4 linked regions of the Rhinolophus ferrumequinum genome follow. The protein of the gene in region 4 purifies or fractionates together with the protein of the main gene of each other region. This does not show direct contact. Links are inferred from orthologs where the notes say so. Each region holds a gene or a part of one and is shown on either strand. Other genes may lie near its edges.

Evidence for each region.
Region 1: the proteins of BACH1 (region 4) and FAM83D purify together in Homo sapiens (co-immunoprecipitation; 3 studies listed by BioGRID and IntAct, counting the BioPlex papers as one, with this or other methods). This does not show direct contact. The link is inferred for Rhinolophus ferrumequinum from reciprocal best matches to the Homo sapiens genes BACH1 and FAM83D.
Region 2: the proteins of BACH1 (region 4) and MAFF purify together in Homo sapiens (affinity purification with mass spectrometry; 3 studies listed by BioGRID and IntAct, counting the BioPlex papers as one, with this or other methods). This does not show direct contact. The link is inferred for Rhinolophus ferrumequinum from reciprocal best matches to the Homo sapiens genes BACH1 and MAFF.
Region 3: the proteins of BACH1 (region 4) and MAFG purify together in Homo sapiens (affinity purification with mass spectrometry; 5 studies listed by BioGRID and IntAct, counting the BioPlex papers as one, with this or other methods). This does not show direct contact. The link is inferred for Rhinolophus ferrumequinum from reciprocal best matches to the Homo sapiens genes BACH1 and MAFG.

The regions. Positions count from the first base shown.
Region 1 is NC_046306.1:17,395,217-17,402,429, forward strand, and holds the start of FAM83D (protein FAM83D), read right to left. Parts: upstream 3,010-7,213; 5' UTR 2,995-3,009; coding exon 2,518-2,994; intron 1-2,517.
Region 2 is NC_046293.1:8,823,947-8,831,413, reverse strand, and holds the start of MAFF (transcription factor MafF), read left to right. Parts: upstream 1-4,464; 5' UTR 4,465-4,772; exon of another isoform or gene 4,773-4,777; intron 4,778-7,467. UniProt on the Homo sapiens protein: Since they lack a putative transactivation domain, the small Mafs behave as transcriptional repressors when they dimerize among themselves.
Region 3 is NC_046304.1:54,701,860-54,708,735, forward strand, and holds the start of MAFG (transcription factor MafG), read right to left. Parts: upstream 3,001-6,876; 5' UTR 2,947-3,000; intron 2,751-2,946; exon of another isoform or gene 2,665-2,750; intron 2,015-2,664; exon of another isoform or gene 1,847-2,014; intron 491-1,846; exon of another isoform or gene 180-490; intron 1-179. Other genes in the region: PYCR1 (pyrroline-5-carboxylate reductase 1, mitochondrial), read right to left, coding at 5,576-5,741, 6,644-6,807. UniProt on the Homo sapiens protein: Since they lack a putative transactivation domain, the small Mafs behave as transcriptional repressors when they dimerize among themselves.
Region 4 is NC_046285.1:96,011,913-96,019,251, forward strand, and holds the start of BACH1 (transcription regulator protein BACH1), read left to right. Parts: upstream 1-4,326; 5' UTR 4,327-4,383; coding exon 4,384-4,617; intron 4,618-7,339. UniProt on the Homo sapiens protein: Transcriptional regulator that acts as a repressor or activator, depending on the context. Binds to NF-E2 DNA binding sites. Plays important roles in coordinating transcription activation and repression by MAFK.

The sequences.
Region 1 (7,213 bases), on a different chromosome or scaffold from region 4:
CTAGCGCTCTCTTCTCTGTGGACCCCTCCTTGTAACCACCCTGGACACGTCTCACCCCTACGTAACCCACCCTCCTTCATGGTCCCACCAGAATTACTGCTCATAACACCGATCTGATCATGCCCCTCCCCTCCCTCTAAACCTTCGATGGCTCTCCACTGCTCCTCCAAGTAGAGCGTACCTCGGTTTTCCGACATCTCCATTGGCAAACATTTCGGTTTACGAACGCCATAAATTTTATGGATTTACGGTATCATGAGATAGTAAAATTCATGCTAAATTTGCAATTTTAGGGGTTGACTTTAAAGGTCTGGAACGGATTAATCCATTTTACGTTACTTTCTATGGGGAAGCCATGCCTCGGTTTTCGAATGTTTCAGAACTCGAACCGTCTTCAGGAACGGATTATGTTCAAAAACTGAAGTACCACTGTAATGTGCAAAGCTCTTGACAATCTGGCCCGTTTCCCCCTTCAGCCTCCTCTCCCACCGCTATCCCTCATAGATTCTCTGCTCCAGCTGTGAGGAACTCAGCTGCCCCCCAAACAAGCCAGGTCCTTTCACACTTCTGGGCCTGCCCCTGTCCTCTGGCCTGGCAAGCCCCACCCGTCCTCCTGGACTCCGCTCCAAGGTCACCACCACACTGGAGGTTTTCTTTCTTCAGCCCCTCCCCCACTACCTGTAGGAACCTCCTCACGCTTCCCAGCAGCAGACAGTCAACTCTCAAGAGCAGGCAAGGATCATGTCCTTCACCTGTGGCCCCAGCTCCTCGCACAATGCCGAGTACATACTAGGCACTGAATAAGCAAGTAATTAGCTACATAGCAGACACACTGAAAACACTCATCAGATTTAAAAGTATGTACCACGTTTATCAGTAAAAATCACCCAGGATCCAAATACAGAAATCTCAAAGCTATGAGGGTGTGGCTGGACTCGGGCAGAGAACAAAGCAGGAGGTTCTACCCAGCAGTGTCAGGATTACACAATGCCCCCAGGACAAAGGACAGCCTTAGCACCAGCCTAGGGCCCCTTCTAAGGCCAACACATGAGTTTATGTACAGTTTTCCCTCTGGCGTGAGCTCCAGTGCCCCTTCACTAGCAATAAAAATTGGAGGGCAAGAGGCGAAGGCAATCCCTCTCTTTCAAGGAGACCCGTTCATCATTTTTCTCAAGTTCCAAGGTCCCAAGTTCTCGTCCTGGAGATAAGTAAGCTTTGGGAATGAACGTAAACCTAGCCCACATTCGAGCCTGTTTCCATCTTTTTACTCTTCCTGCTGAACCCATATATTTCTGCTGCATCAAAAGGACCCTGAGCACACCCAAAGCTCTGCAGGACTGATAACCGGCCTAGGTGGAGACTACACCTGCTCCTCCAAAGGCAAGGCACTAGCCTATTGTATCCCCTACTTGCTACAACCCCACCGGCAGGCAAAGACTGGGGAGATTTGGGGTTTGTTCTTGGACTTGGCTACTTCAATGCACTTGAGTAGCCTCTCCCAGGGGTTACTTGATGCACAGATATCATAACCCAGGCACACTCAGGTACCATCCCTAGCGAGTCTGACCATGGCCTGAGGCTTTACCTGCCATGTCCCTGGCACAGGCACTGCCAGTCAGCAAGCAAGGTGGCGGCTGACCATGGCTCTAGACTAAGGTGTCTACCTCCGTAATGTCTTTTTATCAGCCCCACCCACCTGTGTGCTGCATTCTTCCTCGCTGATCCCCAGGTACCCAGCACCCTGCTGCAGTCTCATCCTGGCTGGCAGCGAGACAAGACTTCCCAATGCACCCCAATACCATGTCACACTAAGAGTCAGACAACTACCAACACCTACTGTGAATAGAGACCACCTAATGCAGGGGTATGGGCATTTTAGCAGGCCACGGCTAACTGCAGCATCCGCCAGCGGAAGGAGAAGCCACCCTCTTGCCCCACCCATTCACAGAAGGAGCAACTTTCCGGCCAGTCTGGCAGAAGGGAAGGGGACAGAGCTCTCACTTTGCCACTCTTGTACGCATTTGCTTTCTACAACCTAAGACACATGGAGGTGACTAGCAATAATAGATTCCTAATGCCCCAGAGTTGTCTCTGGGGACAATCTTTCAGGAACTTTCCCCCAGGTAATGAGCTTCTTAGGTAATGCAGCTCCTAAGTCCCTGAATTGGGATCTGGTGCTGGCTGACAGCCAGGAAAGTTGGCAATCTGGTTTGGTTTAACTGAAATTTAGAACTAGAAGTATTTCTGGTCCCCTCTCCCAGGGGATGTTTATGTTAGGAGATGGAATTCGGGCAAAATTGGCATTCTTGGCGACCGAGACGTCTCCCACTCTCCCCTACCATAAGGAGTGGTTGGGGGACCAGAGATCCAAACGGTAACATGCAGGATGGGGCGAGTCGGGGACCCCGGAGCCATAGGCTCGCGCTCCCATGAGGCCTCAGTACCCCATTTTTGACGAGGGTCTTCTGTCCGACCGGGGACCGAGGCGCCCCGAGGGGACGGGGCCGGGCCGCTCACCTCTCGCGCGGAGCGGAGTTGCTGGCGCAGCGCGTCCTTGCAGCCATAGGGGCCGCTGGCGCCCGCGCCGCGGGGCTGGAAGTGAGCCTCGACGCGCGTGGCGCCGCGGTAGGCGCCCTGGTAGAAGGCCGGCCAGCCGAGCTCCAGCATCGGCGGCTCCAGGTCCGACTGTTCGGGGAAGTAGGTGCCGGACGAGCAGTCGTGCGACGAGGCGAAGGAGTCCTCAGTTCCCCCCGCCGCGCCCTCCTCGCGGGGACGCTCAGCCGTGAGCAGAATGGAGCGCACCTCGTCGGGGTTGAGGAAACTACCCAGGCGCTCGCGTCGTAGGAAGGCCGCGAAGGCATCGGGGCCGCCCGCCACCAGCTCCTCGAGCGCCAGGCGCTGCGCCTCGCTGTACAGCTCGGCGAGGTTGGGCGGCCCGCACGGCGACAGGCAGGCGGTGGGAAGATCGTCCAAGCCCTCGGAGAGCAGAGCCATGACGGTAGTCGGACCCAACCAGGCTCGGGCAAGTGCAGACCAGCAGGCCGCTTTATAGGCACCTTTGAATCAAACTGGCCCGCGCCATTGGCCGCCCCGCCCGCCCTGGCTCTCCCATTGGCTGCCTCCCCATAACGGCGGAGGCCGGACGCAGCGCACGCCCCTTCGGCCCGCCCCTCGTCGTGCATTGGCTGCCCTGCGGCCTGACCCCATCCTACGCCTCCGCTTTGGCTGCTGACTGCAGTCAACCTCCAGCTTTAGTTAGGGGTGACTTCACGGAATTTAAATTTGGCGACTTGGTACCGAGCTCCCTACGGTCTGCAAGAGAGGGGATGAGGCTGAGTGGCCGCGCGGCCCGGGGCAGTGGCGCCGGCTGCAGAATCCGATCTGAAGCCTTAGAGTCCAGCCCCCGCCATCCTAGAGCGCCCCCTGCCGGTCTGCCCTAAGTCGCGGCCCTACAAGGCCCGGGGCGGTCAGACCTAGGCACCAGGAGGGGAGGCTGGCGCCTGCTCCCGAACACACTGCTGCTCCTGGGCTCTCAGAACTGGGGTGTGATGAGCCATGTTGCCTTTATCCCCTGCATTTAATCATTTATTCATTCATCCAAAAATACCGGTCCATCATAATAGCTGCTCCTCTGATTACACCCTCAGGTAGCTTTGTCTTCCCGTACTTCATCGTTTTTTGCCTGACAAAACTCAAATCCTGTTAAAACCCACTCTCCACCTACTTTCCACCTGCACGCAGGCAGCCATACTCGTACAGTGCTGGAGAAAAGAAAGCACAACCAGGCTGACTGGTGTGCCTTAAATTTATGATCTTAGATGGGCCCTTAACGTTTCCTGCTAGCCTGTATTTCCCTCATTCACCCTTTCCTCTCTCGTTAAGAATTTCTGTCCTATTTCACTGAGAAAATAAAAGCAGTCAGAGAGAACTTCCACTTGTTGTACCTGCATGCATCCTCATCTCTGCCTACATACTGGGCCTTCTGTTACTATCCATTAACTGTCGCTTCCCTTTAGGCTCCAGCTACCAGCCCTTCTAGTACTGACCTCTGTCTCGCCAGTAATTCTCTCCTCTCTCCTGGATCATCCATTTCCCTTCTTCACTGGTTCATTCCTATCAGCATTTGAACATGCTGAGATATTTTTCATGTTAAAACAACTCTCTCTTGACCTTTATTATTCCTTTAGAGTTTCGTCCCCGTTTTTCTGCTCAGTTTGATAACATAAAACCACAAATGAGTTTTCTCAACGTGCTCTGTCCAGTTTTCCTCCCATTCTCTCTTGAACCCTGTCCAATCCAGCACATGCCTCCTCTGCTCTACCAAAACCTCTTGTTAGGGTCATCATCAGCTCCACAGTGCTAAACCCAAGAGTCAATTTTCAGGCCTCACTTTGTGTAAATGAGAAAGCATTATGTATAACTGTAAAGTGCTTCTTAAATGGGAAAGGTTACCATTATTATTTAGAAGCCAATGAACTTTAAAAATAAGTGAATGGTTACTGCTGCAAAAATACCTGTGTTCTTCCCATCCTCTTCCCATCCCCAGCCTGTTTGTCAAGTTTTACAAGCCCAAGTATGAGGCTTTCCATGTGTCTCTGCTCTGGCATCCACTGTCCAAAAGGGTCCAAAAAAGCACTCTTTCCATCCTCTTCCAAGATACCAACAAACGTCTGCAAATGACAGACAAGGACCATGGTCTGGGGCTGTACAACCACATAGTTTGCCTCTGTTGTCTGAGGGGAAAAGTGAGAACAACCAGGGTCCCACCTACTGTGTTGTAATAATGTGAAGTAGTGTATAGTATTTTACCTCCTCACTATAAGCTGCATAGGAGAAGGCCTGGGGTGGGTGGGGGAGAAGAGGATAGGCCAGGTCAGTGCACTCTGAGAACAGAACAGAACAGAAGAGGAGCAGCCCTGTTACATGAAAATATGTCATCAGACAAACCTTTGAAAGTATAAAAGTATGAACACACACACGCACATACACACACAGTGCCAAAAAAAGTATACACATTTTAAGGAAAACTGTATTAAAATTGTAATACTCAATATATACCGATAACAAAAGATGAATACAAGTCACGTTTGACTTCTGCAATTACAAGAGGTGCTCAGAGTGGTTACCATCAGCATCCAGACACTTCTGATTATGGCGAATTGCTGCTTGAGCAACATTGACCAAAGTGTCCACTTGTATACATTTTTTGGCACCCCCGGCATATATATATACATATATACACTTACACATATGCACACACATATACATGTATACACATTAACATGGAGTCCTATAGTACCATATATATATATGGGACTCCCAAAGGGAGTATTGACAGAGTGAAAGATCATTCCCAACCATCCATCTTTTCTTGAATTCCCCAAATTTCACCATCTCCCAGTCTAGAAAGACATCTGCTATCTGCTCCATGTCTGAGACTTCAGAGATCCTTCCATTTCACGGGCCTCCTGGGAGAGCCTTCTTTGGGGGGGGGAGTGCAGGGATCCCCCACCTTCTACCCCAGGTATCATCACCTCTTTGTGAATTCAAGTCAGCACAGTTCAGGTGAGCTCACAGCAATGACCACAGGCACACTAGCCAGTGTTATTAAAAGGAATTTAATAATCTTAATTAAAAACTCTTAACAGCGAATTCCGTCACAGGCCTTGGCAGCTGGAAGCAACTTCAGGGGCGTGCCCCTTCGGGATGTGGTTGGGCCACAGTCTACCTGGTGAGGCGCTACCTGGAAGTTACTTCAATACAATATCAAAGATCCGCGAAGATTTTTTTTAAAAAAGTTTTAAATATATTAGACTCTCTTGATTGCCATTTTTACACAAAGCTGCTGATACAGTATACAGAGTTTTAACTTTTTTTCACATAAAATACATTTTTCTTAAGTATTCTCTGTACATCAGTGGCTTCTGGTCTGGTGAATTATTGCGGAGGGCTGGGGGTCTGCAGACTTGTCCCGGTGTGCAGAGCCAGGCCCCGCACGCGGCACTTACATGCCATGGGAAGCAGGCCCTCTGGCCAGCTGGCCAGCGACAGACTCCTCTTGAGGACAGGGTTATAGCTTGTGGCAAAGAGGGCCACTTCTGTCAGGTTATCCATGGAGCACATGACCCTTTGCTCTTATGTGCCCTGGGGAAGGGGAGGCTGTCCCCAGGCTACAATAGCAAGAGTTAAATATAGTCTTGCTGAGCATCTGGTAAGAAGCGCCTTCTGGAAAGTACCCAGTGCCCTGCTCTGGGAAAGCAGGTGGGAGAGAGAGCTCAAGATCAAAAGGTACCTGACTGATAACCCAAATGGTCTCGTGTTATTACAAAGCCAGCAAACTGTGGTGGGATAGGATGGGGCCACACCCATGTTAACTTTCTAAGCCCGTTTAAATGGGTCAAACAGTGCAGTTTCATCAATTGCCAGCTTTCTCCTAGCTCCTTCATCCACACCTGCCTGCCAGGAAGAGAGGCAGCATCATGAGGAAAGGCTTTGATGTTAAAGGAGAAGCTCCTTCTCCTCCTATTAGCCTTCGGTGGGGCAGGAAGATACATAAGAAATGAGCAAGAGACAATGAGTTTAAGAACCTGAGATGTACAGGGCAGTAAATTCCAGACTCTGTATTCTTCTAGACACTGACCTCAAACTGCGGGTACACAGTGCCCCAAAGAGGCTGGACTGAAGGCAGCTATCCCTGAGAGTTCCAGATGGACTTGGGATGGTGTCTGCCTGGAACCCAAGATCCAGCATCTGCGTTTAGTGGCAAATGTCATCCAGGAGTGGCCATGACAGCTGTTTCCTGGCTTAAGGGATTCATACTCTAGGGAGTCTAGGAGCTGAAAAGCAAAGGGATGCTGGATCGGATGCAGTCACTCTGTCTCAGGTGAATTGAATGGCTGCTGCTGACACATATGGTTCTCAAGGGATAAAAACTGTAACGAACAGTCTCCTCACTCTATCTTGTTCCTCCTTTTTCCCCAGACCCTAATATAGTGCCTGGTATTTCACAGCTACTTAATAAACTACATGAATGGATAAATGGATGACCTTAGCCCCAGTTCTTCCTTCAACACCTAAGAGACCTACAGGGAAAGTACCCCAGGTACTTGAAGCCCTAATAGGGAATAGTTTATCCCTTACTGACAATGTGAGCTAGTGCCCAAGAGTCTGTAATTGGCTCCTATCGGGGAGCTGGGCTTCCCAGCCTTCTGGG
Region 2 (7,467 bases), on a different chromosome or scaffold from region 4:
ACCACTCAGCAGGAAGGGCTTTGTGAGAAGGAAAGGTTGAGTTATAAAGACACTGAAATGTGATAAAAGGACAATTTTTTTTTTTTTTGATAGTTGGTTTATTTAGCAGTGGAGAAAAGAACCAGGAAAATATATATGATGCAAACAGGTCTTAGGCCCTTAGCACAGTGCCTGGCACACAGGAAGTGCCCCATAAACACAGTAATATTAATAACTATGTAGTAATAGCAATAAGCAGTAATAAGAAACTGGTAGGAGGTATGCAAAGGTTGGAAGCGCCCAGAACAAGGTAAGGTGCCAGAAGGTGCTGAAAGAGATCCTTCTGACATCACTCCCAGCCAGCAGGGGGATCCATGGGAAATGTAGGACCTGGCCCAGCTGATGGAGGGCTGTCCTGCTGAGGTGGGCAGGGAAGGCCCAAGCGTCTGGGGACAGGACCTCATGAGGGCCCAGAAATCAAATCTCAAGGCAGGAAGGGCCTCCATGGAACACCCAATGGGAAAATCTTCAAGCCAACCCTGGTCTCCTCCACCACAGCCCAGCTTCTAGCTGTCTTACAGTGGCGGACACACTGCAGAGTCAACCTTCATTTAAAGAAAGTTTACTGTGGTTTGAGGATGTTTAAAAACCACTGACCTAATCCTACACTCTCACTGGCAGGTAACTGAAGCCAAAGTGAGGAAAGCCCTCTAATGGGGTCAGCCAGGGTGTGATCTGAGCCGCAGATCCGGGGCTCGGGTCAAGCTCGTCACTGTTACTGAGCACCTACTATGGGGCAAGGCACCTACTGTGGACCAGGGTCCCACAGGGACGTGCTTGGGTGCTGTCTGGTGATTTGGACTCCCGGGCAGGTGAACAGGGACCAGCTGGGCCAGTTAGAGTTCTGCTGGCAAAGAGCAGCTCCATCCCAGAAACTGGAAACAAGGTTCCTCTCTGTGGCAGGAGGTGGGGTCTCTCCAGGATTAGGTCATCGCTGGCTTTGTGTCACTCACCAGGGAAGAAGCAGATTTCTCAGAGGGAGTGTCCCAGGGGACTCCAGCGGACTCTCTCTAACCCAATATTTATTGCTCTTTTATATCATACTAGGCACTGTGCCAAATGCTTATAAGTGGGAACATGTTAAATTGTTTCACAATTCATGAAACAGGCACTGTTAATACATGAAGTATATAGCCCCTTCTACAAAGGAGGAGACTGAGGCAGGGAGCGGTGAAGACAGTCAGCTGGTAAGGGGTGAGGCCAGGATTTGAGCCCACGGGCTAACTGGAGAGCCCCTGCTTTGGAAGGAAAAAAACCCAACTTTTTTATTTAAAACAAATTCTTAGGAATAATAGAGAATTTCTGTATTGTATTCTTCCAGATCCCCCAATTGTTAATATTTCATCGCATTTTCCTTATAATCCTCTATCTGTCTGTCTGTCCATCCACTCATCTATCTATCTTGCTCTGAACCATTTGAGAGTAAATTGAAGACACGATGACCCTTTACCTCTAAACACTCCGGTGTGTATTTCCTAAAATCAAGGACATTGTCTTACATGACCTCAGGACAATGATCAAAGTCAGGAAATTAACATTGATACAATACTATAATCTACAACACTTATTTGGATTTTACCAATTATCTTAATAATGTCCTTATAGCCAAAGGAAATCCTGAGTTACACATCGCAATTAGTCATCATGTCTCCTTAGACTGCTTTAATCTGGAATAGTTCCCCGGTCTTTCTTTGTCTTTCATGATCTTGCCTCTTTTTTTTTAGCATTCCGTCCAATAATTTTGTAAAACTTCTTTCAATTTAAATTTGTCTGATGTTTCCTCACACTTAGATTCATTGTATGAATTTATGGCAGGAATACCAACAGAAGTGATGCTGTGTCCTCAGGGGATCATTCAGGAGAAACTCATGTCAATTTGTCCCTGATATTAACTTTTGTCACTTAGTGAAGGTGGTATCTTACAGGTTTCTCCATTGCAGAGTTATCTTTCCATTTGAATTAATAATTGGCTGCGGGGCAATACTTCGAAACTACCGTATGTAAACATGTTTGTCATAAAATTTTCTTATCCCTTGATAATTCTCATTGGAATCCATTATTACTATGGCGATTACCTAATGGTCATTTCTAACTCTATCATTCCTTCTACTGGAAGGAGGAGCTTTCCCTTCTCCTCATTCATTCATTCAATCATTCATTCATTTATACTTGTATGGACTCCTGGTTTCTTCTCTTATTCAATAAGTTGTAATCCATAATTACTGTTATTTATTTTGATGCTCAAATTGTCCCAGAGTTGGCCAGGAAACCCCCTTCAAGAGAGAGCTCCCACTTTTAAATATGACATTGCACCATATTCCTTAACCTTGACCAAAAATGGAGCCACATCTGTGGGATAAACAGTCCCCATTGGGTGGATACTGAAGCACTGACCCCCTAATGCAGGCAGGCTGGGGATGGGAATAAAAGATCTAGGCACCATGGTGTCCAGGGGTGTTGTGCAGTCCAACTAGTGGGAATTAGTTCACTGGATGAGCACCTGCTATGGCTTCAGCCCTTGAGAAGCTCATAGAAAATGGAGACCAACAATCACAATTGTACAATTTCTAAAATCCAGAACTTTTGTACCCAAATAGGTAACATGAGTTGTTCTTGTAGATATGTAAATGTAGTGCAAGTGGACAATTTGGGGGATGGGAGTGGGGAGGGGTTGTTTGAGTGCCAGACAAAGCTGCCTTATCATTTGGTCACTTGGGAAGCTAGTGGGCCAATTTGCATATGAAACCCAAGGCCTTTGCGAGATAAGAGATAGATGTCACAATCCCAGTTGGACCAAGGCTCAGAGGCAGGAAAGCATAACAAGGGCTCTGAAATCAAATTATATTATATCAAGGGAATGGGGAGCCTTGCTGGTACCCAGGGTTCCACCCAAAGACCTAGCTGGGGAGTTCCTATGCCTTCGGCAATAAAATAAAGTAGATGCTCTGATGTCAGCTTCACAGAATAGATGGCTCCTGGAGTGACGACAGACATTTCAGGCACTGGGACCAACATGAGCAAAGGAAAGGGAGAATAAACAGCAGTACTCCCCATTTGGCCCTCAAAGCTGCCTCTTCTGGGTAGGGCTCCAGACATTGAACACATCCATCAATTTATGCTGGGCCCTACCTAGTTGGGCATAGCCCCAAACATCTGGACCAGGAATCAGTCAGACCTAAATTTAAATTCCAGCTCTTGTACTTCCTTGCTGTGTGACTTAGGAAAGTCATTTTACCTCTCTGAACTTCCACTCATTTATTTCCTCAACATGTTCGCACAGGGATTACTCTGTGCTGAGCATGGTTGTAGGCACCGGACATCCGTGGTGAACAAGATAGACAAGGTTCTACCCTCATGAATCTTACATCTGGTTAGGAAAGACAGACACTAAATAGTAAGCAAATACATAAACAAGACACCCTATGGAGATATTAAGGTTATATAAAAACAAACTTTAGAGTTGGGGGTTCCTTTAGCCAGGGAGGTCAGGAAAAGACTCTCTGAGGCAGAGACAGCTGAGCGGACCTGAAAAATGGGAAAGAGCCCAGCAGTAAACAGAAAAGAAAATAGCAGGTGCAAAGGACCTGTGGCAGGTATGAGCTTGGTGTGTGTGTAAGAAGGGCAGTGTGGCTGCAGAGTAGTGGGTGGGGGCAGAATGACAGACAAGGCTGGAAAGTTAGCTAGGGGCCAGATGGCTTAGGGCCCTGGAGGCCAAAGGCAGGAATATAGTTTATATTCTAAATGCACAGGAAGCCAGTGAGGGTGTTAAGCCAGAGAGAGGGTGGGAGTGTGTGAAACAGTCTGACCTTTGCTTTGAGACGAACACTGTCTGGTGTGGAAAGAAAACTCTTAAGGGCAAAGTGGGAAACTATCAGGCGGCTGCTGCCATAGTCCAGTTTCCTGCCATAGTGCCTGGATCCGATGGTAGGGTTGGGGTTGGGAGAGGTGGTCAGATGCAGGACAGGGTTGGAGGTAGGTACATGATGTGGGGAGGAAGGGAGAAAGACAGATGGAGCGATGCTCCAAGGATGGGGCTTGAACTGCTGAGATGGGAAAAGCTGGGGGGTATGACCAGGAGGTGGATTTTGGCTGTGTAGTTTGTAGTCCTCATATGGCACCCACGTGGAGGCTCGCAGCAGAACTCAAGACAAGATGTTGTGCTCTGGAAATACAAATTGGTGGCTCATGGGCATATAGATGGCATTTAAAATCACGGGACTGGATGAGATCATCAAGGCAGAAGGTGTAGGTCGAAAGGAGAAGAGGCTCGGGACTGTCGACTGTAAAATGAGCCAAATGACACCTCCACCCACGCGGCTCTCGCAAGGTGTCACGTGAACTCATTTAGCCCGCGCTCTAATAGAGGTTGAGAACCCCGGGGCGGGGCCTAAGTGGGGCGGGGCGGGGCAGGGGCGGGGCTCAGAAGCCCAGAGGCCGCTCCCGGGCCGAGGGGCTGCCGGGGAGGTGACGTCACCGCATGACTGGGTTTTTATGAATGAAAGGAATCCTGTGAGTGAGTAATTCCGGGAAGCTCGCCTTACAACTCTGAGCGGCCCACCGCGCCGCCCGCCCCACAACAAAACTCGGTGCGTTGCTCCCAGGAGCCTGGCTCCGAGCGACCCGCGGTCGGGACCAGAGGGAAGACGGACCCGGGCGCCGGCCAGGACAGTAGCCCGCACAACAGCGGGACTCGATCGTGCCAGGAGCGCCAGGCGAAGCGGGCCGAGAGGCGGGTGAGGTACGCGGGTCCGGGAGGGGGCCAGGCGCGCGGGGCCCCGAGACAGCAGAGTCTCCGCGCCCTGGGAACGTGCTTGGGGCGGGGCGCCGGGGCCCACTTAGTCGGTGCTCCACTGTACCGATCGCCCAGAGGGCTGGCGTGTAGTGGGGGAAGGTGGGGACAGAGGTCGGGGAGACCGAGACAGGACGGAAGCAAGCTTGCGGGGGGGGGGGGCAGGAGTGATGGGCCCCTTCTGGGGGCGCCGGGTGGGAGGCGGCGAAGCAGAGCAGGAAGGGGCAGTGCGGGCTAGCGAGCGTCAGCGTCCGCCGAGGCGGGGCTGGGGGGGCGGTGTGTGCAAGTACGTGACTCGGTGAGAACAGTCCCTGGACCGGTGCCCGTGAGCCGGGCGTGCGCGGTTTGTTTACGTCCGAGGGCGGGCGTGCGTGTGTTCCCTGGCCTGCGTCCCGAGTATCCTGCCTGGTGCGTGCGTGTGCGGTGTACCGTGGAGAGAGTGCGTGTGTGTGTGTGTGTGTGTGTGTGTGTGTGTGTCTACCCGCCCGCGCGCTCACTGGCGGGTGAGGACCCTGGGGCTTGTGTTCCAGCGGTGCATACCTTGGAGAGAGTGTGCCCCCATGAATAAACGCAGAATAGGGACCCAAGCTAGGGAAGCGGCCCCGTTCGTGGTCACACGGGGTCCGGGAATTCTCGCCTGGGCTGTCCCCTTTCCACCAGCCGGCGGCGGCCGGGTCCCTGTTCTCTCCGGAGTTTCCCAGGGCCTCGGCCATGTGACCTGTGACCGCGGTGTTTGTCCCCCGCCCAGAACCGGCGCCTGCAGCCCCGGGGTGGGGTGAAGTATCAAAGACCCGGCCTAGCTGGGCTGGTGGTGAGGCGAGGAGCCCACCCCTCTCCCCAGCGCCTGGAGGGCCGGCACCCAGGTCCTTGTCCCAGGTTTTCCTGGCTGCCTGGGGAAGGCAGACCCTGGGACTCTCCTTCATCCCCAGGGTCTCCCGTCCCCTCAGTCTCAGGAGAAACAGGAAGAACCAGAAAACCCATGGCAAAGTGAGGTAGAAAGGAATCCCAGGCTTCCTCTATTTGGTGGCTACTCTGGCTGGTCTGGGTTCTGGAGCTTGTACCTGCTAGGTCTGGGAGGGTGGGACAGAGGATGGGGCGGAGCTGGTTTCTGTCCTGCTGGTGGTTTCAACTACAGGTGGGACTAGTCACACATACCTATTGATAGCCGGACCTGAGCTACTAGTTGAGGGCCTGGGCCAGGCGGAGTTCCCAGAGTCCTCACTCTGGGCCAGGCCTGGTCAACCGGCAGTGGGACAGGTGGTCTTGGTACTCAAAGGGTTAATGTGCGAGTGGTGGGGGCCCAACCTAGTTCTAGCCCCCCTTTATCAGCCCTGCAGAAAGCTTCCCTGTAGCTCAGTAGCCTGAGGCACGGGCTGGGGGCTCGGGAGTCCTTGGTCCTATCCTGCCCTCCCCCTCTTCTTACCCCTAGGGTTACAGAATTATGGGGGGCAGGCAATTGAGCTTGCAGTTGATCTTTCAGTTTTGAATCTTTGAGCCCTGGTGAGCTCTGCTACCACAGCAGGAACCTCAGTGTCCCCATATGTAGCAGAACTAGGCAACATCCAGGTGGCAGAATGGGGGAGGTACAGCAGCCTCTACACAGAGCCTGTTTTCCAGGGGAACTGTGGCAGAGAAAGCAGAGCCAACACCCCCAGGCCGAGGCCAGGGATGTCCAGGAATGTGTGGGGTACGAGTACAGGAGAGGGCCACCAGGAGCACAGGAACCAGGCAGGCCCATCCTTAAAGCTGGGCAGGAAACATCTCTGTGTTTCCTGAGGGTCGGGATGAGGGGAAGCGGCTGATTGACTCGCCGATGGAAAGCTAGCACTGAAAGGTTAAACCTCCCATTGGATCACCCCTGGGCCTTCACTCGGGCCTGGGACCCCACGTGGGGTCCCCTGGCTCCTGTGCCTTTCTCGGTCCTGATGCTTTTAGCCTGAATTGCTGTGGAGCCTGTCATGGGCCAGATGTTGGAGATGAGACAGTGAACAAACGAGACCCAGAGCCTGCCCTCTGGGAGCTTGCAGTCAGTGAGAAGAGACAAAGTTGCAGGAACAGCTACCACACTAAAGTAAAACCACAGCTAAGATGGGTGGTATGAGGGGGAAGTTACTGTGGTTTGAAAGTATATAGAACAGGCATACCTCACCTTATCGCGCTTCGCAGATATTGTGGGTTTTTTACAAATGAAGGTTTGTGGCAACCTTGCGTCAGGCAAGTCTATCAGCGCTGTTTTTCCAACGGGCTCAGATGATGGTTAGCATTTTTTAGCAATAAAGTATTTTTTAATTATGGTGGGTATATTATTTTTTTAGACATAATGCTACTGCACACTTAGACTTCAGTATAGTATAAACACAACTTTTATATGTATTGGGGAACCCAAAAATTCATGTGACTTGCTTTATTGACATAGTCACTTTAACGCAGTGGTCTTGAACTGGACCCACAATCTCTCTGAGGTATTCCTGTAACAAGACAATCAAGGAGGGGTTCCCTGAGGAGGTGACCAGTGAGCCAGGTTGTCAGATCGAGTGATGATTGTGAAGCCCTTCAGGGCAGGGGCTGCGATTCATCTTTGGCCTTCAGAGCCTGGCACACAGTAGGTGCTTCTTGGTGTTGGCTGATTGAATGAATGA
Region 3 (6,876 bases), on a different chromosome or scaffold from region 4:
TCTGCTTCCTGAAACCCCACCAAAAACATTTTTGTACTCCTAGTCCTGGGATCCTGGCTACAATAGCTGCCGCCATACCGTGCCCCCCACTTTCCAGGTTGGATGCAGGGCTAAGACAGACTGCGTTCTCCCTCCTGGAGGAGCACTTCAGGTAACTCTGGGCCAGGTCGCCTTCTTACCCTCACTGGAGCTAGTGTGGGCTGGGGAGGTAGAGGCACGAGTGGGCTCCAGGGTGGACTGCACCTACCCAGCCTTGCATCAGGAAGCAAGGCTGCAGGAAGGAGGCCACAGGCGTCTCCCCACAGCCAGGCCGCCCAGGGACTCAGGCAGCCCTGGGAGCCCAGTTCTTCCAGAGAGGAGGCTGAGCAGACCACAGCTGGAGGTGAGGAGGTCCTCAGGGCCCCATGCCCAGCCTGGGCCAGGCCCTCTCGGCAGTGCACAAGCTGGGGTGTAGGGGCCCTGTTCTGTGTCCTACCACTGTCGGCCCAAAGGAAAAGCCCCAGCACCAGCTTTTCCCACCCCCATGCTCCCTCCACCCCTGACTGCTGAGCACAGCGGTGACTTCCTGAAGAGATCACACAGAAAAGTGCTTCCTCAACAGATTTCAGCCTCCGCAGAAGGCCTGAACTCAGCACAGTGCAGCCAATTGCCTCCTAATCAAAGGTGTGTGTGAGCAGGGGGGAAGGGGCAGCAGGTCTCAGGAAAGCCAGTGCTTCCAGCCTCCTGGCCTGGCCTCGCCCAGTAGACACACACTGATGGGACAGACACAGCTTTGGAGATGGGGTGGCATGGGAATGATGGCTCAGGGCACCCCTAGAAGCCAGGCGGAGGGGATCCTAGAGGCCAAATCAAGAAACTGCCCCCCCACAACTCTCCTCCCCACCCCAAAGGCTGGACCAGAGCTGGGGCTCGGTCATCCTCCTTCCTCAGCTCCCCCATAGGCTGAGTCCACCTTGTGGAGAAGGCCCAAACGGCCCGCATCCACCAAGGTACCCTGGACCATCCACTCAGGCCGGGAGCCAGTCAGGAAGGGGCAGGAGGTCTGGGCAGCTCCAGCCCCTTCCCCTGGGCCCATACTCCAAGGCATGGACACGAGGCAGGAGGCAAGACAGCCAGCCTCTGCTCTTTGTCCTGGCCTGCAAACCCCAGTGGCCAAACCTTCCAGGCAGGCATGGCCTTGGGCACTCTGGCACCCTGACCTAGCCGGGCCTCACTCCCACCCTGCCTATCAGACCACCTCCTCCAGAAGCCCCCAGCCACTAAAAGTCACTCTGAAAAAAGTCTAATACTTAACTTCCACCGAAGCCTAATGTACTGAGAAGACTTAATGCAACACCCCTCCAGAAATCTGCCCTTTCCTAGGGTATAAAATTCCAGGCAAAAGATCAGCTGAAGAGTTAAAACAGCTGGCATCTCTAAGCCCAGGCAGGGCTGACTGTGTGTGCGTGTGACTCGGAGAACAAACCACAAGGCCAGCCTAGCCTGGCCATGAACCCAAGGCAAGAAGGGTCAGCTCTGGTCTAGACGAAACACTGCCCTACCCCTCGAGCCAGCAATCACCCACACACCCAGGAGAGGTGGCCCAGGCCACACGACCCTCAAGTGGTCACTTCCCAACAGTCGCCATCACCTGGCCCAAAACCCATCAGGGCCGCGTTCTCCGCTAACCTGCACAACACTGGGCCCCAACCTCAAGTGAGACAGCTAGCGGTGACTGGGAACTGCACTCTTAAACCCCAGCCCACCTGCTGTGCTCTGCAGGCTAGGCACCCACCACGCTACCACCACCCAGAGCCTCAACCCAGACTCCAAGGCTGGGCTGCAAAGAGGGGCAGGGCCTGCTCACCAGACACCTTGATCCCCAGTGCCCACGTCGTGCGGCTCCCTCTCATGTGCAGTCTCCTGGGAGCGCTGCGCCTGCTTGCCCCCTTCCCTGTCCACTTTCACCCCGGGACTCCAGTACAGGCTGTGCTACGCTGGGCTCACTGGGGGAGCCCTGGCTCCTGGCTCAACCCCACCCTTTCCTCCCCCCTACCCGTTGCCCCTCCTTCCAGGAGGCCCCACTGCCTCCCTCTCTGGCCTGTGTACCCCTCTCTTCCCTGCCCAGGGGCACCCAGACTGGCGGACCAGACCAGTCGCAGGGAAAGCCTGTTTCCCGCCCCCTAGCACGGCCCCCCTAAGCTCCTCCCCTCCTCTCACTCAGAGAACTATTTCCCGGTTAGGAGAACTGTCCCAGCCTTGGGTCGGGAACCAGCCGCTGGAGAAGAGCATGCCTGGGAGGGATGGACAGGCCAGGGGCTTCACCTTCTACCGCGCCGTGGCCCCTCCAGTTCCTCCTCACCACCCTGCCTTCAACTCGCACCTCAGTCCAAACTTAAAAAGCCGCCCCAGCCCCTGGGCCCGGCTCCTTCTCCACGTCCCCACGGTTCCCTTCCACCCCTCGTTTCCCCGCCTTTCAGGCCCCAGGCCCCTAGCTCAGATCCCCCGGGCACCGGGATGAGCATCCAGTGACCTCATGCTGATGACTCAGCAAGTCTCCCTCGGGGCTCTGGCCCGCGTGTGACGGAGCGAAAGCGACGCGAGCTGGGTCTTCCCAGCGCCCCCACGCCAGCCCTCCCGGGGCCCGCCAAGGACCCCTGCACCTGGGGAGGCGGCGACACACACCTGATGAATCAGCAGCTCAGGCCCGGGCCGCCGGGCTCCTCCGCGGAGCCCTGGGCGCCCAGTTCGACCCCACCCTTTCCTCCCGCCGCCCCGGCCGCCCCTCCCTCCACTGAGCGAGCCCCGCGCACGCCCCGCCCGCTCTTCGCCGCCCCGCGGCCCACCCCCAGAACCTGGGCGCGGGGGCCAGCAGTGCCCTGCCCGATGGGGAAATCGAGGCACGGGCCGCCAGCGGCGCGCGGGGCAGACCCGAACCCAGGAGCGCCCGGCCCGCGCCGCACTCACCCACCACACTGCGGGCCCGGGCGGGCCGAGGCCGGGGCGAGGGGCGGCGGGCGCTCCGAGGCCGCGCGGGGCTGGGCCGCGCGGGGGCTCCGGGCCCGGGGTGGGGGCTCGCCGCCTGCGCGGGCCGGGCCGTGCGCGCTGGGAAGGCTGGGCCGGACCAGGCTCGGTATCCGCCGCCGCCGCCGCCGCCGCCGCCGCCGCTCCACAGACGTCACATGATGTTTGGTCACGTGGGCTCCATTCATGAAGCGGCGACGCGACCCGCCGGGGCTTAAAGGGGAAGGCGCGACGGCGGCGGCGGCGGCGGAGGCGGAGCGCGCTCAGACTGCGCCTGCGTGCCCGGGCGCCGTCGCCCCGGCAACGCGCACCGCCCCCTGCCCGGGCGGGGTCTCGCGGGACTGGCTCGGGCGCGCCCTCCCCGGCGGCCACGCCCCCACCGGCCTTCAAGGTGGGGCCTTGTGACCGGTTCGGCCGCTTTCCTGACCCTTGTGTGCTGATACTTTCAAAGTCCATGTGTCCAAGAGGCCCGCTTCTACCTGCCCAGGGTGGGGGTCTCTGCCGGGGACTCACTCCTTAGGCGGGCCCTGCATGGACTCCAGGCCCAGCACTGGCCGCAGTAGTGGGTACGTGGGGAGTGACCAGGCCTGTCGGGGCCACCCTGGCAGACGCGGGAACGCAGCCCTGGCCCTGGTTTTTTCTGTTGTGCATTTTCTTCTGTGTCTCCTGTCTCCCTTTACGTTTGGAGGGCTCCCCAAAGTGTCTCCTCTGCCCACCTGCGTGCACGGGGTCTTGGTTCTGAGTGGGCCCAGGGGGAGGGGAGAACTGGAGATGAGATACTGCCAATGCTGTTCCTTGAAAACCCCCGCTCAGGAGCTCTCCTGATCCCCACCACCCTCCTGCCCTTTGGGGGACCCCACCTCTTGTTCTGAGCGCCCCTGGCACATCCTAGCTGCCCAGACCAGGTCCCCTAACCCACCAGAGCAGGGGTGGGTGTAAGTGGTGTCAACCTCTGAGGCAAGGGGCCTCCTCTTACTATCTTCACGCTCTGTGACTACTTTTTGATGTCAAATGCAAGCACTCTGGCTCCATCAAGTGTCCTCTCCGTCACTCCTCTGATCTTGCGATGGTTAATTTTGTGTCAAATTGACTGGGACACGGTGACCAGATATTTGGTCAAATATTATTCTGGCTGTTTCAGTGAGGGTGTTTTGGCATGAGATCGGCATCTAAGTCGGTAGATGTTAACAGATTAACTTCTGGAATGTGAATGGGCCTCATCCGACCAGTTGAAGGCCCAAATGGGACGAAAGGACCAAGCCTCCCTGCTGTGAGAAGTTCCCTGCCTTTAGACGCCACCTGCCTGGTGCTCTCTCGGCCTGTTGTCCTTTGAGTTGGAATGTCGGCTACCTGGGTCTCCAGCCTGACGCCCCACCCTGCAGACTGGACTTGCCAGCCTCCATAGTTGTGGCTAAATCTTTCTTATATGTAACTTACTATCTATCTCCGTGTCCTACTGGTTCTGTTTCTCTGGAGAACCCTAATCTAGCTCTCTACGGCCCTCCTGCTCCAACTGCCTCTGCCTGGGTGAGTGGGGGCGACATATGCCCCCACTAAGCCCGGAGATGTGAAGGATGCAGAGGCTGGTGCTCCCCCCACAGTGGGGAGCAGAGCAAGCCCAGCCTATGGTGCCAGCTTCCCAGACACTTCTAGCGACTGGGGCTTGAGGAGCTATCCCCTTCTCTAGAGGCTCCCTCCCCTCTGCTCACGGGGAGACTCCAACCCTGGCAGCCTAGCTACCTTGGAACTAAGGGCTCTGGGGCCCGGGGACTACTGGCTTAGCCTTTACTATTACACCCAACAGCAATGACCCCCTGTGGCAGCTGGAGGCCACCCTCCACACATGCTGACAAAGTCAGAAGTTAGGGCACTGGGCTGGAAACCAATTTATTTAACCTAAAAGGCCAGGGAGAGAAGTGACAGTGTCTGTGGTTCAGGTCAGGAATGGGGGACAGTGGCCTGAGAGTGCTGGTGGCCTTGGAAATCCAACTGTCTGAGGAGCCCTTTTCTCAAATGTCAAATGGGGATGAGGGGTGATGAGCTGGCCTAGAACTGTGGTCCCTCCCATTGGACTCAGAATGCCTGGGATCCTCTGGTGCTTCCCACACTGAGGAAGGAGGTGTTCCCCCCGCCCCCACCATGAGTGGAGGTTAGGGAAGTAGCAGATGTGGGGCGGGACTCCCCCCTTTCGCTAGACCTTCACAGGGGCCAGGGGGAACCTCGACCTTTGTGCTCAGGCCAAGCCTCAAACCAGCTAACGCTGAAAGGTGAAGCCCCCAAACCCCGCTTCCTGAGCTCCTGAAAGGTGGTCCTGATTTGGTTTGGGGCAGAGGAAGTGCAGGTTTGAGGTCAGAGTCCATCCCTGTTCTGGGTCAGGAAGCATTAGGGGACTGTGGAGATTCCCATTGGCTAGTGATGTGGCCCCTCCCTGGCTATGACGCTGGCTGACCCCAGGTGACCAAAGTCGTGGGCAGTGGGCCACCCTATGTGGCGTGGGGCTAGACACCCAGCACAGGAGCTCTGAGCCAGGAGAGAGAAGGTGGCGGGCAGCCTGACAGGCAGGTGAGACACTTCAGTCTTTCTTGCCGGTCGGGGCCATGCTTCGGGGAAGCAGCTTGGCGTGGCCAGAAGGAGCCAGCAGGGCCCTCGGAGGGGAGTCGAGCTTCACCTTGTCCAGGACAGTCTTCTTGATGGCAGCTGGCGAGACCTTCTCGCGGTCAGCCATGGATTGCAGCTCCCTAGGGAGGCAGTGAGGGTTGGGTCCAGGGCTCTGCCTCCTTCCTGAGCCCATGTGCCCATGAGGGAAGAGGGGTCAAGGCCCACAGCTCCCGGCACCTGCCAGCCCAGGGTGCTGCAGTGCTGTCACACCCCCTTCAGGGCCCTTGCACCTGCAGTTCCCTCTGCCAGCTACCCTCCCCTAGACTGCTATCTGCCTCCCTCTCACCTCATTCAAATCGGCTCAGTCACCAAATCTAGTGTCAGGCCCCCAGACTCTGAGCCCTCACTGTCCTGAGCACAGGATATGTGCCTCGTCTGTCTCCCCTGTGGGTTGGGGCCAGCAGGGCAGCACTGTGTTCTGGCCTTGTTGTCATGTGGTGGCACTCGGAGAAGCCTGGGGGGTTAGACTGGAGGGCAGGCGGGGGCTGAGAAAGATGCCCGTCCATCCTCAGACCTGAATAAGGGACAGTAACTCCGAGCTGAGACACCAAACTGTGTCTGTCTGTGCTCTTTCGTTTTTCTGGCTGCTCTCATGGAGCACACTGCACCGCGTCCTGCTTGTCTAACTTGCTTAACCTCCCCAGCCAGGCTGGGACAAAGGTATTATTGTCAGGCCCACAGAGGTTCCTTCTGGTTCCCCTGGGCCCACCTCCCCAGCTTGGATGATCACCCCAGTCTGACGGCCACCGGTGATGAAACCACGTGGGGAGCAGAGTGAGCACCCAGAGGGCTGCCCCTCCCGGCAGGACGATGGGCACTGCAAACCATATGCCAGGGAACCTCGGGGCTCCCTGTGCCCTGCCCACAGTCAGGCCCGAGCTCGATAAACATCCACTGCGTGGATGACTGAGGAGACGAGTGAGGCTGAGGGCTCTGGTGCACTGGGCGGGAGGCCCGGGGGCTGGCAGCAGCAGGAACCCACCGTGTACGGATGCAGGAGGCCTCCACAGCGTTGATGAGCAGGGAGCGGAAACCCCCACTCTCCAGCACGTGCAGGGCGTGGATGGTGGCCCCTCCAGGAGAGCAGACATTGTCCTTGAGCTGGCCTGGGTGCTGTTCTGAGTCCAGTAGCATCTTGGCAGCCCCCTGCAGCCAGAGAAGATAGGCTGACGGCTGTGGGGGCACCCAGCCCCCTCCACAGGGCACTGCCCCAGC
Region 4 (7,339 bases):
ATTAGAATAGCTGACTGTGCTGTGTTTGAAAGAAAATGTCCATGATCTAGGTTTTCAATTTATACTGAAAATGGCCAGGTGATTCATTCAGAAGCAAATACCTGCGTTGGACCTGCTGCTCTGTTATATGCTTTGGGGCAGAAAACAAGTCAAAGTTGTGCCATTTAAGCTGAGACCTAACAGGTGAGGAGTTAGCCAGCTGCAGAGCAGAAATCCAGGGAGCAGTCACAGCATATGTAAAGGCCTTGAGGGGGGAAGGAGTTTGGCGCCGTCCCACACCCCCGCCCGCCCGACCCAGGCAATGAAGCATCAGCAGGCTTTCCTAAACCAAAAAAAAAAAAAGGGGGGGGGCTTGTAGGGAATGAAGGTTTTGTTATTATTTTCAATAATTGCAGCTAATATTTAGTATTTGTTTGCTATGAGCTTGACAGTATGCTAAACCCTTCACCCTTATTATCTCATGTAAACCTCACAACAGCCAAGTTGGCTGCTGTTGTTATCCCTGTTTTACAGGTGAAACGAGTGAGAATAGCAGCTTGCCCAAGGTCATTTACGTAGTTAGTAAGTGGCAGAGCTGGGATTTGAACCCAGACAGTATCTGATTCTAGATCCGGTGCTGTTAGCTACGTGGCTTGTGCTTTCAGTGCTTGAGGTGATGGTCTATTAGTGGTTCTTGAAATTGAGTGGATCACAACTGGAATTTTTTTTTTTAATAGAACACAGTAGAAATTAGAGTACTTGGCAGTAGTAAGAATAAAATATTAATATGTGGAACTTTGTTTCACTTTTTTATTTTATATAACTATATTTGTACGTGGGTAAGCTTGTAGGCCGTTGCAAAAAGAGCTACTGATGGCTTGGATTGTGACAGGACAGATGGAGAGAAGTGGATCTCAGTGTGGAGAGGAAGACCGCACCAGGTATCCGTAAGATTGGATACAGGGGCTGAGTGTCGGGAGGTGGCAGGGGAGTCCCTGGTTTCTGGTGGGAGCAAGGTCAGTCCTGCTTTGCGTGTGCTCAGTCCTCTTTAAAGGCGTCTGACCCTTCTTAGAGGGGACATCCTGGTAGCTGTTTCTTTTACTGCCTGATTCTCTCGCTTCTCTCAGCTGCAGCGGATAGGACCTGGGGTTGGCATATCATTCAAATCTGTGTTTTACAGCAGATCAGGAATCTGGCTGCGAACGTATGAGGTGATCTGTCACCCCAAACTACTTAAACGGGGGTTGAGCCAAGAGTAAATTCTCTCTCTGGAATCGGAGGTGAGTAGTGAGCAGGCCACACAGGCACACATGTGGGCTACTCACAGGCACACATGTGGGCTACCAGTAGCCCTCGAGTGAAGATATGGGGTTGTTTTTGCTGTAGTCTCTGTGGGACCCAAAGAACTTGTAGGTTCTAGTGTTGAAGAGTCAAGAGTCCTCTTTCTGAAGTTCAGGTCCAGTTCATTTGTTCCTGGCTTTCTGTGAGGCCCATTTTCTTATATTCATGCATGATGTTTTAGTAAAACCTGGCTGGCTCTTCACATTACTGCCAGGGGTCTCCAGACTGTGCATTCAGCAAATGCTAACTAGAAACACAACATGGAGTACTTAAGTGCCAGGTACAAATCCCCCTTCTCCATCTGAATGGTTTTTTGACCTTGGTCAAGACACTTCTCACTGAGCCTCAGTTTCCTTCTCTGCATAGTTGGGTGATATGAGAGCGTGGTGTCATAGGTTGTCTGAGAAGTCAGTAAGATACACTATAGTATCCAGCACTCAGTTCAGTGCCTAGTGCAGAATTAGAGCTTACTAATTGCTGGTAGTAGTTGGTATTTTTAGGATGGTTCTGGAGAGACTTAAACATGTTTATGAACAAAGCTTATAGGAAGGAGCCAGGAGAGAGGGAGAAAGAGAGGGAGAGAGAGAAAGAGAGAGGGAGAGAGAGACGGGCCATAGAGAGGGTGTTAAGAAAAGATATTAGATTCCAGAGAAGCAAGGATGGTATGAGATCAAGAGCAGACATTAGCTCTAGACAATTAGTGGATTGTTTTCAACAGGAGGAAACCTGTGGAGGTGGTAGAAGGGGCGTATTTTCTGAGCTTGGATCCCAGTTATGGTAGTCTACTGGGAGAGATGCTTACTGAGGAGAAAAGTGGTGACTCGGAGGGCTGTTGTGAATGGCAGACAGGGACACACAAAGTAATTGATGAACAGTGCTGAGACCCTGAGATTTCATACTGTTAACGTATAGTGACACCAGTCTGCATGTCTTTACAGTTTTTCCTGGCTGCGCTATGTTCAGCAGAATAACAAGATGTAAAAGTAAGACTAGTATAGTTTTAAGAGTTTGCATGACAGATGTAGGAAAGAATAAGGAGGCTGGGTACTTGGGTGCAGGGACATACCATGTTTCCCCGAAAATAAGACCCAACCGGGAAATAAGCCCTCGCATGATTTTAATGCATCTTTTGGAGCAAAAATTAATATAAGACCCAGTCTTATTTTTGGGGAAACACAGTAGTAAGGCATGTGGTCAGCTGTTGAGTCCTGCTTGGCTGGGGATGGTGACAGTCTTAGAGACAGTGGAGGGTGGTGGTCTCTGTGTTACCACATGCACAAGGTACATAATTTCTTTGAATGATGGTTCTTCCATACTGTTCCTTGTGTTGATAACTGAAATATTAAGACCAATTACGGCTCTTTCATATGGTCACACCCCAAACATTGAGTTAGTTCTAGTACATAATTTTGAAGTTGCCCCAATTTCACGTGGTATGCTGAATCAGTAAATAATAGGTTGTGATCTAAGTCGGATACAGTTTAAGCACTTAATGAGAGATTTTATTTTCATTGACTACTTCTGAGGAACTTAACATTTCAGCTATATTGAATACTTTAAAAATAAACACACAAGTAGAATAGAGTGTTTAGATGCATTTCATGTGTTTGTGACTACAACAGCCTGTCTTTGAGGTGGAATTCAGCCATGATGTGGGCCTGGTCTGTCTGAACTTTGGTAGTCCTTATTTCTCCTTTCATTTGTACTTGGAGTATAGTGAATCGGAAAATAGTAACAGTTTTTTTCAGTCACTGAACATTTGAGGACCTTCGTGTTTCAGGTAGTAAGGCGTCAGAACAAAAGTCAACGGCACAGAAATGATACCTGGGAGGAGCCCGTCAGCTTCCCTCAGCGTGATCAGCACGCCATAGTAGGGTACACCACACAACTCGGGGTGCCCACTAGCCATTGGGGTCTAGAAGAAAATATTAGAGCTTCTCACCTCTTACTTTCAGCCTCTGCGTGCTTTAAAACATTGTAATATGTAAGAATAGTGCATTTCTGAAATGTATAGACAAACTTACATATATGTATTGCTTGTACATACAAGCTCCTTTTTTTGCAGGTAGTGTGTATGTAATCAAAAAGTGTTGGGAGGCTGCTATATGTTTATATTTTTAAAAATACACATTTTTGATAACTTTCTCTTATGATTTCACATTTTGAGAAAACCAAGAGTTTCTATGCATACTGTGTTTCCCCAAAATAAGACCGAGTCTTATATTAATTTTTGCTACAAAAGACGCACTGGGGCTTATGTTCATGGGATATCCTGAAAAATCATGCTAGGACTTCTTTGCCGGTTAGGTCTTATTTGGGGGTAAACACGGTAGTAATCCACGTTCTGAATGGTGAGGTACTTGTCCTTGTTGCCCACATTTTGTAGTATAAGGTGAGACTCGTTACATACAAAGACTCATTAATAAGATCTGGCATGGCAAATTTCAGCCTTTTTCTCAAGGAAGTTGTTTGCTTCTTTGTGTTGGAGGAAATTGACCTTTTGTAGAATGTGTCCCTTGTCAGGAAGCACCAAGTCCCCCTACCCCTGTGGGACACTGGGGAGTGGGGCATGGAGAATGGTGGAACACCGCCTGCCTGCTGCACTCACTCTTCAGTCCCATTCCAAACCGCAACCATCCAGGACCCACACCCCCCCCATTGACGTCTTAGAGCAACAGGAATGGGGCGCCACCCAGAGATTCCCTGGCCCCACTTACTTGCTCATTGTAGGTGTTTTCTCAGTATGAAATGTCTTTCAGAGAGCCATGTAATCCTTGGTTCAAAAACTTTCCTCCCCCACCCTGAGAACCCTTTCCCTAAAATTAGTTAGAAAAACTATCAAGACCCCCTTTGAAGTGAGGTAAATTGAATAAATGCTCCTAGATTCTCTAGAGGCTTTTGTTTTGGTGATGAGTATTTTAATTTATGTTTGATACTGTCATTTTTTGAAACAGTTTTAACAAGATTTTACTGAAACGAAATCGTGCCTGTGTGCCTTTGCAGGTGTGAAGACGATTAGAAGCATGCTTTCACTGCGCTGCCCGGCACCATTTGTCACGCAGAATGTCTCTGAGTGAGAGCCCGGTGTTTGCCTATGAGTCTTCGCTGCACAGCGCCAACGTGCTGCTCAGCCTCAACGACCAGCGGAAGAAGGACGTGCTGTGTGACGTCACCGTGCTCGTGCAGGGCCAGCCGTTCCGCGCGCACCGGTCCGTGCTGGCGGCATGCAGCAGCTACTTCCACTCGAGAATCGTAGGCCAGGCCGACGCAGAGCTGCACGTTACTCTACCAGAAGAGGTGAGAGGCCTGTGCCTTCCAGAATCACCCTGATTTTAATTTAATGTAACTTAGTTAAATCTCTTACGGTTTCTTAAGTTAAAAATAAAACAGTCTCCTTGTCATGCGGCTCAGGAGCAGTTTGCAGGTTCTGGAATGACACATTTCTTTAGGTTTTTAAAAATAAAATTATGACCTCTTACGTGTAAAATTATTAATTTTGAATGTTCAAACTGTTTATCGAGCAGTTAAATTACTTGACCCACTGTTAGGACATTTGGAGAGGTCATGCTCAGAGAGGCAGCCTGTGTGCCATTCTCTCCCTTTGGACCTTTTCCTGTGATGGAAAACTGTGACCGGGTTTAGGGTTATATAAGTTACACCCCAAGACACGGCCTCATGGAAAGTAGGTGCTCCATAACTGTGCTCTTTCTCTCCTCTTTCTCCTTTCTTGAAGATGTGTCTGTTCATTGGTAGAAAAAAGATGGTTCTATGCTATATTTATAGAGTGCTGTTTTTACACATCTCTTTCCACCAGCCTGGTGTGGAGCTCCAGCACCTAAACATTTGGGTCCTTATTAACGTCCTGCCTCCAAGAGACCTCTCTCTGGGCTGGCGAATGCTGGTTACACTGACCCGTATTAGAACAGCTTTGGTTGGTTAGTTAGTAACTGCCACTGGAACAGCGTTGAGCCTTGTGGCATTGGGATACAAATTAGAATTTGTTAAGAGGAATTTGGAGAAAGTATATAGGACTTCTTTGTGTACAGCAGGCCTGTGTGGGCTGCCCTGTGATGGATACGAAGGCCACGTTGGCCATGCATACTTCCATGAAATCGTATTTGCAGGTTGGGGAATCAATAGATTGTCAGTTCCGTGGTAGAGGTCGGAGCGAGTAATACAATAGCAAGAAAGTGACAAGGAAGGCCAATGATAGGTTAGTCATTGTTCCTAAAATGTAGCTGTGCGTATCGTAATGGACATATACTTCGTGTGGTCTATATTTTCAAATTACTTAATAAGACTTTCTAAGTAGATCAAAGTTTCATTCATGAGTACAGGAGAAAAGGTGTGTATGTGCATTATTCATTATAATTTGAGTGTAAATCCTATAAGTTTTCAAATATTTAAAGTGTCTCATTATTTAAAGTGGCAGATTGAAAATATCTTTACATAACTAACTCACTATCTTAAAAGCCTTTTTTTGGCTATTTTAACTTATTTTTAAAAAATTAATTGAAATTCAGAAAATGCAGAGAGATCTCTTGTACGCTTTGCCTAGTTTCTTCCAGTGGTAACATTTTGCAAAATGATAGTATAATATCACCACCAGGACATTGACATTAATACAGTCTGCCCATCTTATTCAGTTTTCCCTGTATTAAGTGTGTGTGTCTGTGTGTGTGTGTGTGTGTGTGTGAAGTTCTGTACAGTTTTGTCCCCTGTGCAGGTCCATGAATCCACCACCTCTTCAAGATACTGAACAGTTCCAACACCCAAAGATCCCTTGTGTTGCTCTTTTGTAATCACACCCACTTCCTTCCCACCTTCCAACCCTTACCCCGGCAACCACTGATCTGTTCTCCTTTTCTAAAGTTGTCATTTCAAAATGTTATGTAATTGCAATCATACGGTATGTGACCTTCTGAGATTGGCTTTTTTCCATTTACACTTACCCTTATTTCTTTTGAGATTCATCCAAGTTGTGCGTATCAATAGTTTGATCCTTTTTATTGTTAAGTAGTATTTCATGGAATGGATGTACCAGTTTTTATTTAAGTATTCACCTATTGAAGGAAATCAGGCTAATTCCAATTTTGGGCTACTATAAAGTTGCTATGAACATTTTATGTGTGTATAGGTTTTTGTATGAGCATAAGTTTTCATTTCTCTGGGATTAAAGAGCAAGAGTGTAATTGTTGGGGCATATGGTAATTGCATGTTTAGTTTGATGAGAAACCACCGGACTCTTTCTCAAAGTGGCTGCACATTTTACATTCCCATCAGCAGTGTATGAGTGATTGAGTTTCTCCGCATTCTCGCCAGTATTTGGTGTTGTCACTGTTTTTTATTTTAATCCATTTAAAAATTAGTTAAGTACGCACAGCTTAGAATATTTGTAAGAAGATCACAAAAATTATAATATCTTGACCACCCTTATAGGTACTCTGTTTTAAAATTGATTTTGTATTTTTAACCCAGGACGAGGCTTTCTCTGCACTTTGGTATCTTCCATTGCCCCTCACTTTGCAGAGGCAAGTTCCATGTAAAAGTACAAGTTTCCACTTAAAGAGTTTGTTACCTAGAGTCCATGAATCTTTGCTGAAACAGTGCTAGGCATGATTTTTAAAATTTCACTGTGGTCACTTTTTAGATTTGAGTCTTGAAAATTTTTATTAGAAATTTTTGGTGTTTTACCATTTACTGTGCATTTGCTGTGGACCGGGACTACTTTAAGTGCTTTAGATATAGTGTTTTTTATCCTTAAAAATTTCCCTTTTGTAGTTTATAGCAGTTGGAGTTTGGAACATAGTGGTCTCGTGGAGCTAGGCTGGCAACAGGCACCAGGCACTTGACTTTGTATGTGTTACAAGTTGTGTCCATCGTGCTTTGTTTCATAGATTATTTATTTCAGCCGATGTGGGGAAACTGTGATAATGTTTATGTCCTAATTTATCTCATGTGAGTAAGCCGTAATTCATGTGTCAGTAAGAAGAAGATACAGTTCCCGTGAATAGGGTGT